3 linked regions of the Saccharomyces cerevisiae S288C genome follow. The gene in region 3 interacts genetically with the main gene of each other region. Each region holds a gene or a part of one and is shown on either strand. Other genes may lie near its edges.

Evidence for each region.
Region 1: of HSH155 (region 3) and TUB1, changing one suppresses a phenotype caused by changing the other (phenotypic suppression), as found in Saccharomyces cerevisiae (one study listed by BioGRID).
Region 2: mutations in HSH155 (region 3) and MIF2 impair growth when combined (synthetic growth defect), as found in Saccharomyces cerevisiae (one study listed by BioGRID).

The regions. Positions count from the first base shown.
Region 1 is NC_001145.3:97,426-100,992, forward strand, and holds TUB1 (alpha-tubulin TUB1), read right to left. Parts: upstream 1,976-3,567; coding exon 1,951-1,975; intron 1,835-1,950; coding exon 516-1,834; downstream 1-515. Other genes in the region: YML083C (uncharacterized protein), read right to left, coding at 2,369-3,567. UniProt on the Saccharomyces cerevisiae protein: Tubulin is the major constituent of microtubules, a cylinder consisting of laterally associated linear protofilaments composed of alpha- and beta-tubulin heterodimers.
Region 2 is NC_001143.9:271,719-275,599, reverse strand, and holds MIF2 (Mif2p), read right to left. Parts: upstream 2,207-3,881; coding exon 557-2,206; downstream 1-556. Other genes in the region: phosphopantothenoylcysteine decarboxylase complex subunit CAB3, read right to left, coding at 1-317; CUE2 (Cue2p), read right to left, coding at 2,391-3,722. UniProt on the Saccharomyces cerevisiae protein: Component of the kinetochore, a multiprotein complex that assembles on centromeric DNA and attaches chromosomes to spindle microtubules, mediating chromosome segregation and sister chromatid segregation during meiosis and mitosis.
Region 3 is NC_001145.3:843,610-849,010, forward strand, and holds HSH155 (U2 snRNP complex subunit HSH155), read left to right. Parts: upstream 1-1,961; coding exon 1,962-4,877; downstream 4,878-5,401. Other genes in the region: DSS1 (exoribonuclease II), read right to left, coding at 1-1,736; aminodeoxychorismate lyase ABZ2, read left to right, coding at 5,076-5,401. UniProt on the Saccharomyces cerevisiae protein: Contacts pre-mRNA on both sides of the branch site early in spliceosome assembly.

The sequences.
Region 1 (3,567 bases), 750 kb from region 3:
CCTTCTAATGAATTTTAAGTTTTGAAAAGCAGAAAATCAGATATTGAAACTATAGATCTGCTTACCTTGAAGTTCACTATTTTTGGAATTCTCCTTGCTAATAGTTACTTCTACTCTTGCTTTGTCCTGGATATCAATGGAAGATGTCCTCATTTCCATTTTTTTTTTCAATTCGACGGCAAGGCGGGAGAAAAGGAACTAGGGATACAAAAATGCAATTACTAATGAAATCCGTGAAATAATCATGGAAATGGGTGATGTAAGAATCTGATGAAACAAGTACAAATGTCTTTGGCCCATCAACTACGATGAGACTTACTAAGCTTTCATCAAATGCAGGTTAGAGAAGGAGAATGGTTTTTTTTTTTATTTTTTGTACATAGATATTAGAGAAATATAATAAGTAGATTATAGATAAGATATCACCAAAGAGATATAACAGTAGGGGGAATTTTTTTTTTTACAATATACTTGAAATATAGAAAGGATAAGGAGGTTGGGGGCGAGAGTGAACCTTAAAATTCCTCTTCCTCAGCGTATGAGTCGGCACCCACTTCGATGTAATCTCTTTCTAAAGCAGCCAAATCTTCTCTAGCTTCGGTGAATTCACCTTCTTCCATACCTTCACCGACATACCAGTGGACGAAAGCACGTTTGGCATACATTAAATCGAATTTTCTATCGATTCTCTTCCAAGCCTCAGCAATGGATGTGGTATTTGACAACATACAGACGGCCCTATCCACAGTGGCCAATTGTGAGTTTGGTGTGGCAGTTGGAGGTTCGTAGCAAATACCGATCTTGAAACCAGTTGGACACCAATCAACCAATTGGACGGTCTTCTTGTTTTTCACCTGCTCGACAGCTCTTTGAACATCTCTTGTTACCACATCACCCCTGTATAACAGACAAGTAGCCATGTATTTACCATCTCTTGGATCACACTTGACCATCTGGTTACCAGGTTCAAAACAAGCGTTTGTAATTTCTGACACAGAGTTGGACTCATGGAATGCCTTTGATTTGGATAAGACTGGAGAATATGAAACTAAGGGGAAATGAATTCTTGGATATGGAACCAAATTGGTTTGAAATTCGTTCAAATCTACATTTAATGAACCGTCGAATCTCAATGATGCTGTAACAGATGATACCACTTGAGCAATTAGGTTGTTTAAGTTTGCAAAGCTTGGTCTTGGGATATCCAAGTTTCTTTTGCACATGTCGTAAATAGCCTCATTATCGACCATGAAAGTACAATCTGCATGTTCCAATGTAGTATGTGTAGTTAAAACTGTGTTGTAAGGCTCAACCACAGAAGTAGACACTTGTGGAGCAGGGTATACGGCAAATTCCAGCTTGGATTTCTTACCGTATTCAGCGGATAGTTCTTCCAACAGTAAGGACCCTAGACCGGAACCAGTACCACCACCAAGAGAATGGGTAAACAAGAACCCTTGTAACCCATCACATTGGTCTGCCAGTTTTCTAATCCTATCCAGAACATCGCCCAAAATTTCTCTACCAACGGTGTAATGGCCTCTTGCATAATTATTAGCCGCGTCCTCCTTACCACTGATCAACTGTTCTGGATGGAACAAGTCCTTGTAAGGACCGTTACGGACTTCGTCAATAACGTTGGGCTCTAAATCCACGTAAATAGCCCTTGGAACGAACTTACCGTAGCCGGTTTCATGGAAAAACGTGGAGAAACCCTCTTCTCCTCCCTTCGGCTTTGAAAGGCCATCTTCTAGATGTCCATCCGGCTTAATACCGTGCTCAAGGGAATATAATTCCCAACAGGCATTACCAATCTGACAACCAGCTTGACCGACTGTAAAGAGAAATCAAAAAAAAAAAAATTTTGCGTTGAAGTTAGTAATGAAAGATGAAACGCCAAAATGAACTAACAAAAAAAAGATCTAGCCTGGACGGGCAAATCGAACATACCATTAATACTAATAACTTCTCTCATTGTTTGTTTGCAGTTGTAAGTTTACAGATCTTGGGTGGCGAGAACTGTTGTAGACGGATATACTGAATTGGGTAAAACGATATAGTAGATGTTTTTGTTTTGTTTTGTTTTGTTTTGTAGTTTAGTTTTTCCCTTGGCTCGAGGCGTTTTCGCGTGGCATAACCCGGCCGGAAACTACGGTGATATTATCGTCTGGCACATATATATATATATATATGTAAACTATACTTATATTAATAGTTTCCGATCGTCTTATTACTCACTTACTATCAATGGAAGCACTATTTCATTACTTAAAAAATACTTTCTATTGCAGGATCTGAAACAGTCAGTTATAATGGAAAAAGTATGCAATTGTGTTTTCTTAAAGAAGGATACAGATATTTATATATGTTAGTTCCTCTGGAATATATCGCTAGATGCATTAAACATGAAGAAATTTGCCGTATGAATTATTCCTGTATGTACACCAAATGTGTCATGATCTTCTTGTTTCTTCAATGTGGCGCTGGCATTCGAGAGTGATGATGCTTGGTGTGAGCACTTGAAATGTCTCCTCTTTAAGAAAGACAATCCTATCCTTTCATGATCAAGGGCTTCTAAGGCGTCTCTCAATGCCAATTTCAAATCGGTAGGGTCTGACACGGTCTGGTAGCATTTATTAATGCAGTGGGTAAGGAAGAGGGAGGGCTTGATAATGTGGTTGGCTGAAATCGGATGGCAGTGCCCGCCATTGATAGACTCAAATTTTACTGTCTTCGTACAGTGGTTGAAGGTCAGTATGAGTTTTGACTCGCAGATCAAATGTATTTTGTACTTTTCAGGAGTCCTTGTTCTTTGTATACGCTTATTGCTGAGTTGCTCGTGAACATTCATCTCACAAACGAGTTCGTACTTGTTCTTATTGATTTTCTTTGTCCTGTAGATGAAACTAATGAATGAATATACTCTAACGAACTGCTCAAACGACAGGGTACATAGGAACTCGAAGGAGGATTTTGGATGCTTGAAAATAAAGTCCCTGAAGTTTAGAATGTTGTTGATATTTTCGATCTCGTCCTTGTTTACTGGATGGTGATATTCCTGTGCGCATGCAATTAGTTGTTTACCAGACCTAACTTTGCTCAATTGTGCCTTTGTTTTTGCACAACCAATGTAGTTTGGAATCTTCCTAATTAATTCCTCGGTACTATCTCGCTCAACATCACGGCCGCCGCCATTCCCGATCACAATTTTGGGCAGGATAGGATGTGAAACTCTGTCCTCTACTGTGCTGGGCACAGGCGACGGTGGTAGTTTCAAATCTGGCAGCTTTATGGCGACCGGGGCCAAAGGGGGTGAGGGAGCCGTTGCTTCAAACTGAGGTCTTGGGGAGGTCATAGGTGTGATAATAGGCATCATTGCGGCATGATTTCGTACAGCGACAGGGATAGTGACAACCTGTTGTGACCAATGGACGGGCGTATTTGTGCTCATAGAAGGCAATATGGGTGTTGGCAAGCACCTGGGGCTGGAGTACCCAAATGTCAGCGAATGTTGTTGATCTAACGCCAATATGATTGGGGGCAGAACGGGCGATAGGCACTGCCTGC
Region 2 (3,881 bases), on a different chromosome or scaffold from region 3:
GCTGGCATACTGGTGTTGATCTGTATTTCATGGCCATCTTTGTTCCTTTCACTATTTTGCTTCAGATTGGCAAAAGAGAAATCCCTCAAATTTGTGCTATAATCGTTTTTGTAAATATTCCTCCTATTAGAGTTGGATTTTGATTGATCTTCATGACTATCAGATCTTTCGAAATTTGATTCATCGTGAATACTTTTTCTTCTCTCCTTGTTGGTCAAAATTGAAACCGGCACTTGTGTTGTAGGCAAGGATGAAATTAAGTTAACTCCCTGCTTACCGTTCATATTCTGATCTGAGTTCACTTTTTCATCCGTCATCACACCTAATAACTCTTTGCTGGTCCTTTAGACTTTTATTTAAATATGCTAACTAAGTGTTACTTTACTGTTCTTTCTCTTTTTCTGCTTTTTGTTCTCTCATCTACGAAAGTTCGGTGCGAAATTTTACGTGATTCATTTTCTTACAGAAAAGTTCACATGTTTAACAGTATAAGCGTATGGACCTAGTTATATTTCTTCAGTACATAGCATGCATAATGAGAATATTCACATCATAATTACCCAAAAGTGTCAAACGTACTGTCTAATTCTTTGTCGTTGTCATCGTTAGCGTCTTCTGAAACGGTCACTTGAACGAAGAACATTTTGGCTTCATCATTCCCTCTATTGGCAATCGCGTACTCGTTGAATGCCGGTATTTGGAAAGTGGAACCTTTAACGCTCAAGAACTTGTTCTTACATACAGTTACTTCGACTATTCCCTGTATCACGTGGAACGTAATATATGTCCTAAATGAGTTGCTTAATTTCTTTTGTCCAGAAATAGCTGGTAGTTTTAATATGCCGCTAGCAAAATATTCTTTATGCTTATCGAACATTATCTCAAGGGCAAAATTCTCGTCCTTCGTGTCTTTTACTTGTTCAGTTTGCGACAAATTGGGCGCGAATGCAATAATTTCATCCTTAGTTTCCTCCTTAGTGTCGCTAATTTTCACATTAGCTTCCAGTATTCCATGTTTCAGCCACTCGCCATTTTCTATGCCTCCAGATTCTATCCTTTCTATAATATCCTCGTTGGGATCTTCTGGAATCAAATTTTCCTTTGCATTTGGATCCTTCTTTGGCCTTCCTCTTGGTCTCCCCGTAGGTACGTAGTTGTAAGGTCTGGTTGGTGTAGGTTTTTTTTTTTGTTTCTTCCTTCTTTGTGCTGCCAATATCTCCTCTTCGTCTTCAGATTCATCATATGTGACAATTTTGTCTATGTCAAGAACGGGTTTATTGGACTTCCTCTTATATACTATTTTTTCGTTCCTCCAATACTGCAAAGGCGCCACCTTGACTCTTGTAGATTTCCGAAGCCCGTTTCTATCAATTATTGAATCTGTACGAACCACATCACTCGCTTGTCGTCTTATATAATCATCTTCATTGTCATTTGTGTTCACCTCAGCCTCCTCTTCTACTTCTTGATAGGTGTTATCTCCATCTGAATCACTGGCTGAATCCGAGCCTGAATCCAAAGATGAGTCACTTTCAATGTAATCACCGTCCTCTTCACTTTCAGGTATAAACCCGTCATCTTCTAATTCGTCTTCTAATAATGCGTTATCAGATGTGTTTAAAGAAGTGTTTACTCTATCATCGTCATCCTCATCAGCAACCAAATCAGGTACATCTGAATAAACATTCTTATTAGTGATTCTATCAGGTGTCAACCTTACAGAAGGGCTTTCTGAAGTGTCAAGGCTATACCGAGTGGAGTACTTTCTTTTATATGTAGGTTTACTCAATTTCTGTGTGATTGGTGTGGCAAAATCATTGCCTCTGATATCATTTTCTTCTTGTTCTGGTTCTTCCTCAATAGGCTCGAAATCATTGGCTGGACTCAGGAAGTTTGATTGATGGCTTAACAAAGATGATCGTCTTGATCCATCGCCTTTCCCAGATGGGCTTTGGACAACTTCATCATCTTGAGATTTATATGACTGTAGAAATGGCGGTAATACGTTCTTAGTATCGCCATTTAACGTTGATGGTAAGAAAAGCGATGATTTTCTTCTGCTTTTCCTTCTCATACTGATAAGACTAGTTTCATCATCTTTGAAAAAATCATCAATATTTTCCATGCTGTATTCATCTTTGGGTATATCTTGCTTAACATCAATACCAGTTTTACGGGACTTAAGCCCCAATTTCATATAATCCATGAGTGAAGTGCTGTCCTGTGCTAATGTCTAACTTATTTGTTTAACGTATGTATTTTTCTAACATTCATTTATTTACATCACCATTTCTAACGCGTTATATTATTTTTCTCGAAATTGAGAAAAAACCCAATGCAGTTTAAAGAAGCCTAGCGTTTATAACCTTTATAGAAAAATCAGATAGGTTTTATTTCTTCTTCTTACCCTCAATTCTGAAGTAGGAAGATTCTTCCCAAAATATGTAGTGATTTTTTTCAAGAAAACTTTTAACCTGCAGTCGAACCTTTGAGATCCCGCCGATGCTGTGGATACCTCTACCAGTTACCACGATTAACGGGCTTACAAACTGTACTTTTGAGCCATATGAGTTTATGTTGTGGGAGTTCAACTCTCGTTCTGCTACCTCTTTGGACCACCACTTATTTAATGCAAGTTTCAGTGTTGAAACCGCTTCACTGGGAAGAAAACCATGGAAATCCAATCTGTATGTTTGAAACAGGTTATTTATAACCGGCACAGCTCCCTCGGGGGTTTCTTTGTCATGAAGGGGCAATTTATAAGTATTTCCTACCTCATTTCTGCGGGAAATCTGCGGTGTTGAAAATTTGGGTAAATGTTGCTTACAATTATCTCTGGATGTCAAGGTAAAACCTTCGTCAAAGTTCCAAGTTTTCGTAATATTCTTGTCATCTTCGATCAATAAGGACGATATGTTCAACACCTTTACAACATCTCCATCATAAAATTGCAGGCATTTTTGCAAAAATTCATGGTTTATGGCTTTGAGATCGCGATTATCTGCAACTAATTCATTTAACTCAACCATCTGCGGACTATCCAAGGAGTGCTTATAACTCCTTGGCCTTTTGAGACTCTCTTGAGCAACATTTGCGGATTCTTTACCCTTTTTCAAAACGTGGGCAAGCCCCGTCGATGATTGAACTCGACCACCTCTCACAGTCGTATTAGGACTCCGTTTTACTTTGAAAGTATCCACATCTTTTTTAAAATCCCTTTTGTCGTAATAATCCAAAATGATTTTGATGATCGCCTTTACTGTATCAAAACCATTTTCGGCTAAGTATTCCTGCGCAATATTTTTGGGAGCGTCGGTAAACTTTATTATACTCTCTATGTGATCGTTTGTTGATTCCCAATTATTTTTCTTTTCGTTCCTTTTTACGCTATCAGGAGAATTTGCTTGATTGTCTTTAAGTTTTTGCAGGGTTTCATAATTCAGAAGATCAGAAATAGTCGATTCTACGGACTTCTCATTTATTACAAACTGATCTTTTATAACGCTGCAATCAAGCTGAGGAAACATGTCGTACAGTTGATGTAATTCATTATCAACTGTAGACTTATCGTCGTTTTCTTTTAACAGCAAGCCTATCGTTAAATCCAAATCATTATTGTTTTCAAGTAAATGTACTTGTAATTTGGATTTGGAAATAGCTGGAAACATGTCCATCAAGATTGACAATTTAGATTCATGGTCATCATTGTTATCCATACTCATTGCATGATCTTATATGCACGATAAATGAGGTGTCATAATTGCTTTATATTGATATACTGAAGGCGAATATCGCTGTTGAAATTTGAATTTTTTCGCATTTTTTTTTTTAACAGTGAATATCTTGGTGATAGAGGCAATTTCCAAACTGTGAAAGCAATA
Region 3 (5,401 bases):
CCCTCAATATCAACATTAGTGCTTTCCGGAAACATAGAAGTTGGATCCGCAATATGAATATATAAAGTGTACAGTCCATCTCTACCATAGTTTTTCACCGACACGCCGTCATCAATCTCATGCGCAGTTTCAGAGTCTATACAAAAAACCCTAAGATCGCCAAAATCGTACCTATCGTCATCAGTGCCGGATTTTTTCCATTGCAATTCTTCTATATTAGTTAAGTCGTAGAGTTTTTGTTGCCATTTCACTAACTTCGAGGAAGCAGGTAATGCTAAATCCATGTTAAGTAACAATGGATTGGGTATTGAGTTGGGTGTTATCTCATTGATTAAATCTTGACATATATCTCTTGTGATGTCACAATCCTTATAGCGTTCTATCTTTCTGAATATTTTTGAGATCAAAGCTACTATAATTCCGTTATTGTGAAAATTCCCAGCAGCAAAATCTTTCAATAATTGGATCACAGAAGGATATAAAGCTGATATATCGCGATATTTCCTTTCATTCACCAATTTTACAAACTTATTGACCTCTCTATAACTGTTGGCTTCTAGCTTCTCTATCACCTGCGCATAATATAAATGTTGTGATTTTAAGGGAATAATCGTTACTGATATAGGCGACAGCAACGCTGTATTCAGATGGATTTCCCCCCAAAGGTTCGATTCCTGTTGTTGCATAATCGCCCAGTACGTGGAAACAAAGGTAGGTGAATTTATTGGTATATCGTTTACAGTGTGATAGTTATTAACTAAACTAGTTAAGTAATTTATTCCATTTTTATCGTCCAAGGCTTTATTTAAATCCAATTTCTGAACTAATCCGACTAGGGTAAAAAAAGGAATCTGCCATGGACCCATATAATTTTGTAATGATCTGTGGAGTAACTGTAATTTTTTGGTAGTAATGGGCAAATCTTTCCAGGCCAACTTTGAAATTTGGGCTGGATACCTACTTGTTATTAGCTGCCTTGCTACAATAGGCAAAATATTCGTTTGGTTAGAAAAGTTCTTAACGGTTCCAATTGGCAAATGTTTGTGATGGCTCTCAGGCTGTATAAGTGAATGGATTCCAGCAGGTAATTTGTGAGGAATCCTCAATAACACCCGGTTTTTGGTCGCAAAGCACATAGTTCCATCAATAGTAACAAAAGTGTATCGAGGATCCATAGTGCTACTTGGAAGACTTACACACATCGCCAATTCATTGGGTCTCATTTTTAAAAGAACAAAGTCACCAACATTTAAGGGACTTTCCATTAGCTGAACAGGTTGAAATTCCATTGGGTTTGGAGCTTTCAGTTTTGTTATTAATTGAAAATCTGAATTTATTAACTTGTAAAGCGGAATTTTTGGTTTTGTTAAAGACCTCCAGGAGTTTACGTACCAATCTTCGGAAGGTTTAACATACCTATCTTTATAACGTTGGTTAAATTCCTGTTTAATTTGAGGCAGTTGTTTTAATTCAATATCAGGCTCTAATCCTTTTGTTCGTTGCAGAAAGTCTTTGTTTATTGATTCTATATCTTTCTCCGGTCCAACCGAACGGTCTACAACTGTCTCTGTAGCTTGATCATTATCTAGCTCTCGTGTGTGATCTAGTTCTACTTTTGCTTGCTGCTTACTCTTACTTCGCTGTCGTTTGCCTCTGGTAGTTACTCTGAAGCAAGGTGTGTAGGAATGAAAGCTCCTTGCAATTAGAAGAACATGTACTTTCCGCCTAACTACCATCACCTGTCTTTATTTATTCCGCTGACAGATATGCACAACCAATTATCGTCTCTTGAAAGCTTTTTAGACGTGATTGCTGTTATTTGGCACGTTGTTAGTATTTAAGCTTATTCGGGTTTGCATTGATATTTGCCCGAGCAGAAATCTCCTTCTCGATGAGTTAGAACTGAAACATCTCTTCAATTACTTATACATAATAAACATAGAAAGCCAGGACCTGTCATCATGAGTCATCCGATTCAATTTGTAAACGCTAATAATAGCGATAAGAGCCACCAATTAGGCGGTCAATATTCTATTCCTCAGGATTTGAGGGAAAACCTGCAGAAAGAAGCTGCACGTATTGGTGAGAACGAAAAAGATGTGCTACAGGAAAAAATGGAAACTAGGACAGTGCAAAATCGAGAGGATTCATACCACAAAAGAAGGTTTGATATGAAGTTTGAGCCGGATTCCGATACACAAACTGTTACGTCTTCAGAAAATACCCAAGACGCTGTCGTGCCAAGGAAAAGAAAATCTCGTTGGGATGTAAAAGGGTACGAGCCACCTGATGAATCTTCAACAGCGGTCAAAGAAAACTCTGATAGTGCTTTGGTTAATGTAGAAGGAATCCATGATTTGATGTTTTTTAAACCTTCTGACCATAAATATTTCGCCGACGTTATATCCAAAAAACCCATAGATGAGTTAAATAAGGATGAAAAGAAAGAAAGAACCCTGTCGATGTTACTTCTGAAAATAAAAAATGGCAATACAGCGAGTAGGAGGACTTCTATGCGGATTTTAACCGATAAAGCTGTTACATTTGGTCCAGAAATGATATTTAACCGCTTATTGCCCATATTACTAGACAGAAGTTTGGAAGACCAGGAAAGACATCTAATGATCAAGACCATAGATCGCGTCCTTTACCAGCTAGGAGATTTAACAAAACCTTACGTTCACAAAATACTTGTAGTAGCTGCCCCATTGCTAATAGATGAAGATCCAATGGTTCGTTCAACAGGCCAGGAGATAATCACCAATCTGTCTACAGTCGCTGGCCTAAAAACCATTCTAACAGTAATGAGACCTGATATTGAGAATGAGGATGAGTATGTTAGAAATGTAACTTCAAGAGCGGCGGCTGTGGTGGCAAAAGCCCTTGGTGTTAATCAATTGCTTCCTTTCATCAATGCAGCATGCCACTCACGGAAGTCTTGGAAAGCAAGGCATACTGGCATAAAAATTGTGCAGCAAATAGGTATACTTTTGGGAATAGGTGTCTTGAATCATCTTACTGGGCTGATGAGTTGTATCAAAGACTGCCTAATGGATGATCACGTTCCGGTGCGAATTGTTACAGCACATACTTTATCAACACTAGCAGAAAATTCTTATCCATATGGTATCGAAGTTTTCAACGTTGTACTGGAGCCATTATGGAAGGGTATAAGAAGTCATCGTGGTAAAGTGCTATCTTCTTTTTTAAAAGCTGTTGGATCTATGATCCCATTGATGGACCCAGAGTATGCCGGTTATTATACCACAGAAGCAATGAGAATAATTAGACGTGAATTCGACTCTCCCGATGATGAAATGAAAAAGACCATTCTTTTAGTATTACAAAAATGTAGCGCTGTAGAATCCATAACGCCAAAATTTCTGAGAGAAGAAATCGCGCCAGAATTCTTTCAAAAATTTTGGGTCAGACGAGTGGCATTGGATAGACCATTAAACAAAGTTGTTACATATACTACTGTTACATTAGCAAAGAAATTAGGTTGTTCTTATACCATTGATAAATTATTAACACCATTGAGAGATGAAGCTGAGCCGTTCAGAACAATGGCTGTCCATGCTGTTACTAGAACAGTAAACTTATTAGGGACAGCAGATTTAGATGAGAGATTAGAAACGAGGCTTATTGATGCGCTCTTGATAGCATTTCAAGAACAAACAAATAGTGATTCTATAATCTTTAAAGGGTTTGGGGCAGTGACGGTGTCACTTGACATCCGTATGAAACCGTTTTTAGCACCCATTGTGAGTACGATTTTAAATCATTTAAAGCATAAAACTCCCTTGGTTCGTCAACATGCAGCAGATCTATGTGCCATACTAATACCAGTCATCAAGAACTGTCACGAATTCGAAATGTTGAATAAATTGAACATTATATTGTATGAATCCTTAGGCGAAGTATATCCAGAGGTATTAGGTTCTATAATCAACGCTATGTACTGTATTACTAGCGTAATGGATTTGGATAAACTACAACCTCCTATTAATCAAATTTTACCAACCTTAACTCCAATTTTAAGAAACAAGCATAGAAAAGTCGAAGTAAACACTATCAAATTTGTTGGACTTATTGGTAAATTAGCACCTACCTATGCACCTCCTAAAGAATGGATGAGAATATGTTTTGAACTATTAGAACTTTTGAAAAGTACAAATAAAGAAATAAGAAGATCAGCAAATGCCACGTTTGGATTCATTGCTGAAGCAATTGGACCTCACGATGTTCTTGTTGCGTTATTGAACAATTTAAAGGTTCAAGAACGTCAGTTACGTGTATGCACGGCTGTTGCTATCGGTATCGTTGCTAAAGTGTGTGGTCCTTACAACGTGCTGCCAGTAATCATGAATGAATACACAACACCAGAGACTAATGTTCAAAACGGTGTTCTCAAGGCCATGTCATTCATGTTTGAGTACATTGGTAACATGTCTAAGGATTACATATACTTCATAACACCATTATTAGAAGATGCACTCACCGATAGGGATTTAGTTCATCGTCAGACAGCGTCGAACGTAATAACCCACTTAGCTTTAAACTGTTCAGGTACAGGTCACGAAGATGCCTTCATTCATTTAATGAATCTTCTAATACCCAATATTTTTGAAACTTCACCACATGCTATTATGCGTATTTTAGAAGGTTTGGAGGCACTGAGTCAAGCTCTTGGCCCTGGACTATTCATGAACTACATATGGGCAGGATTGTTCCATCCAGCGAAGAATGTAAGGAAAGCATTTTGGAGGGTGTATAATAACATGTACGTAATGTACCAGGACGCCATGGTACCTTTTTACCCCGTTACACCAGACAACAATGAAGAATATATAGAAGAACTGGATTTAGTTCTGTGAATATATATAGAGCATATAAATAACCACAACTTGTAAGAATATTTTACTTGACACACCTATATCATCACGTCACGATGCCTTCATAGATTATGATGAAATATAAACAGAACCTGCTATTGGAAAAAAAAGGGCAGGAAAAAATTTTGTGAAAGTGAGTAAAAGAAAGATGAAGAGCGAGACATGGATAATAAGAAATAGATGTCACTAATGGACAATTGGAAGACTGATATGGAAAGTTACGATGAAGGAGGCCTAGTTGCTAATCCGAACTTCGAGGTTCTGGCCACTTTCAGGTACGACCCTGGTTTTGCACGCCAGTCAGCGTCAAAGAAAGAGATCTTTGAAACTCCAGACCCTCGATTAGGTTTGAGAGACGAAGATATTAGGCAGCAGATAATTAATGAGGATTACTCAAGTTATTTACGAGTAAGGGAGGTTAATTCCGGCGGTGACCTTCTCGAAAATATTCAGCATCCTGATGCTTGGAAGCATGATTGCAAGACCATTGTGTGCCAGCGTGTAGA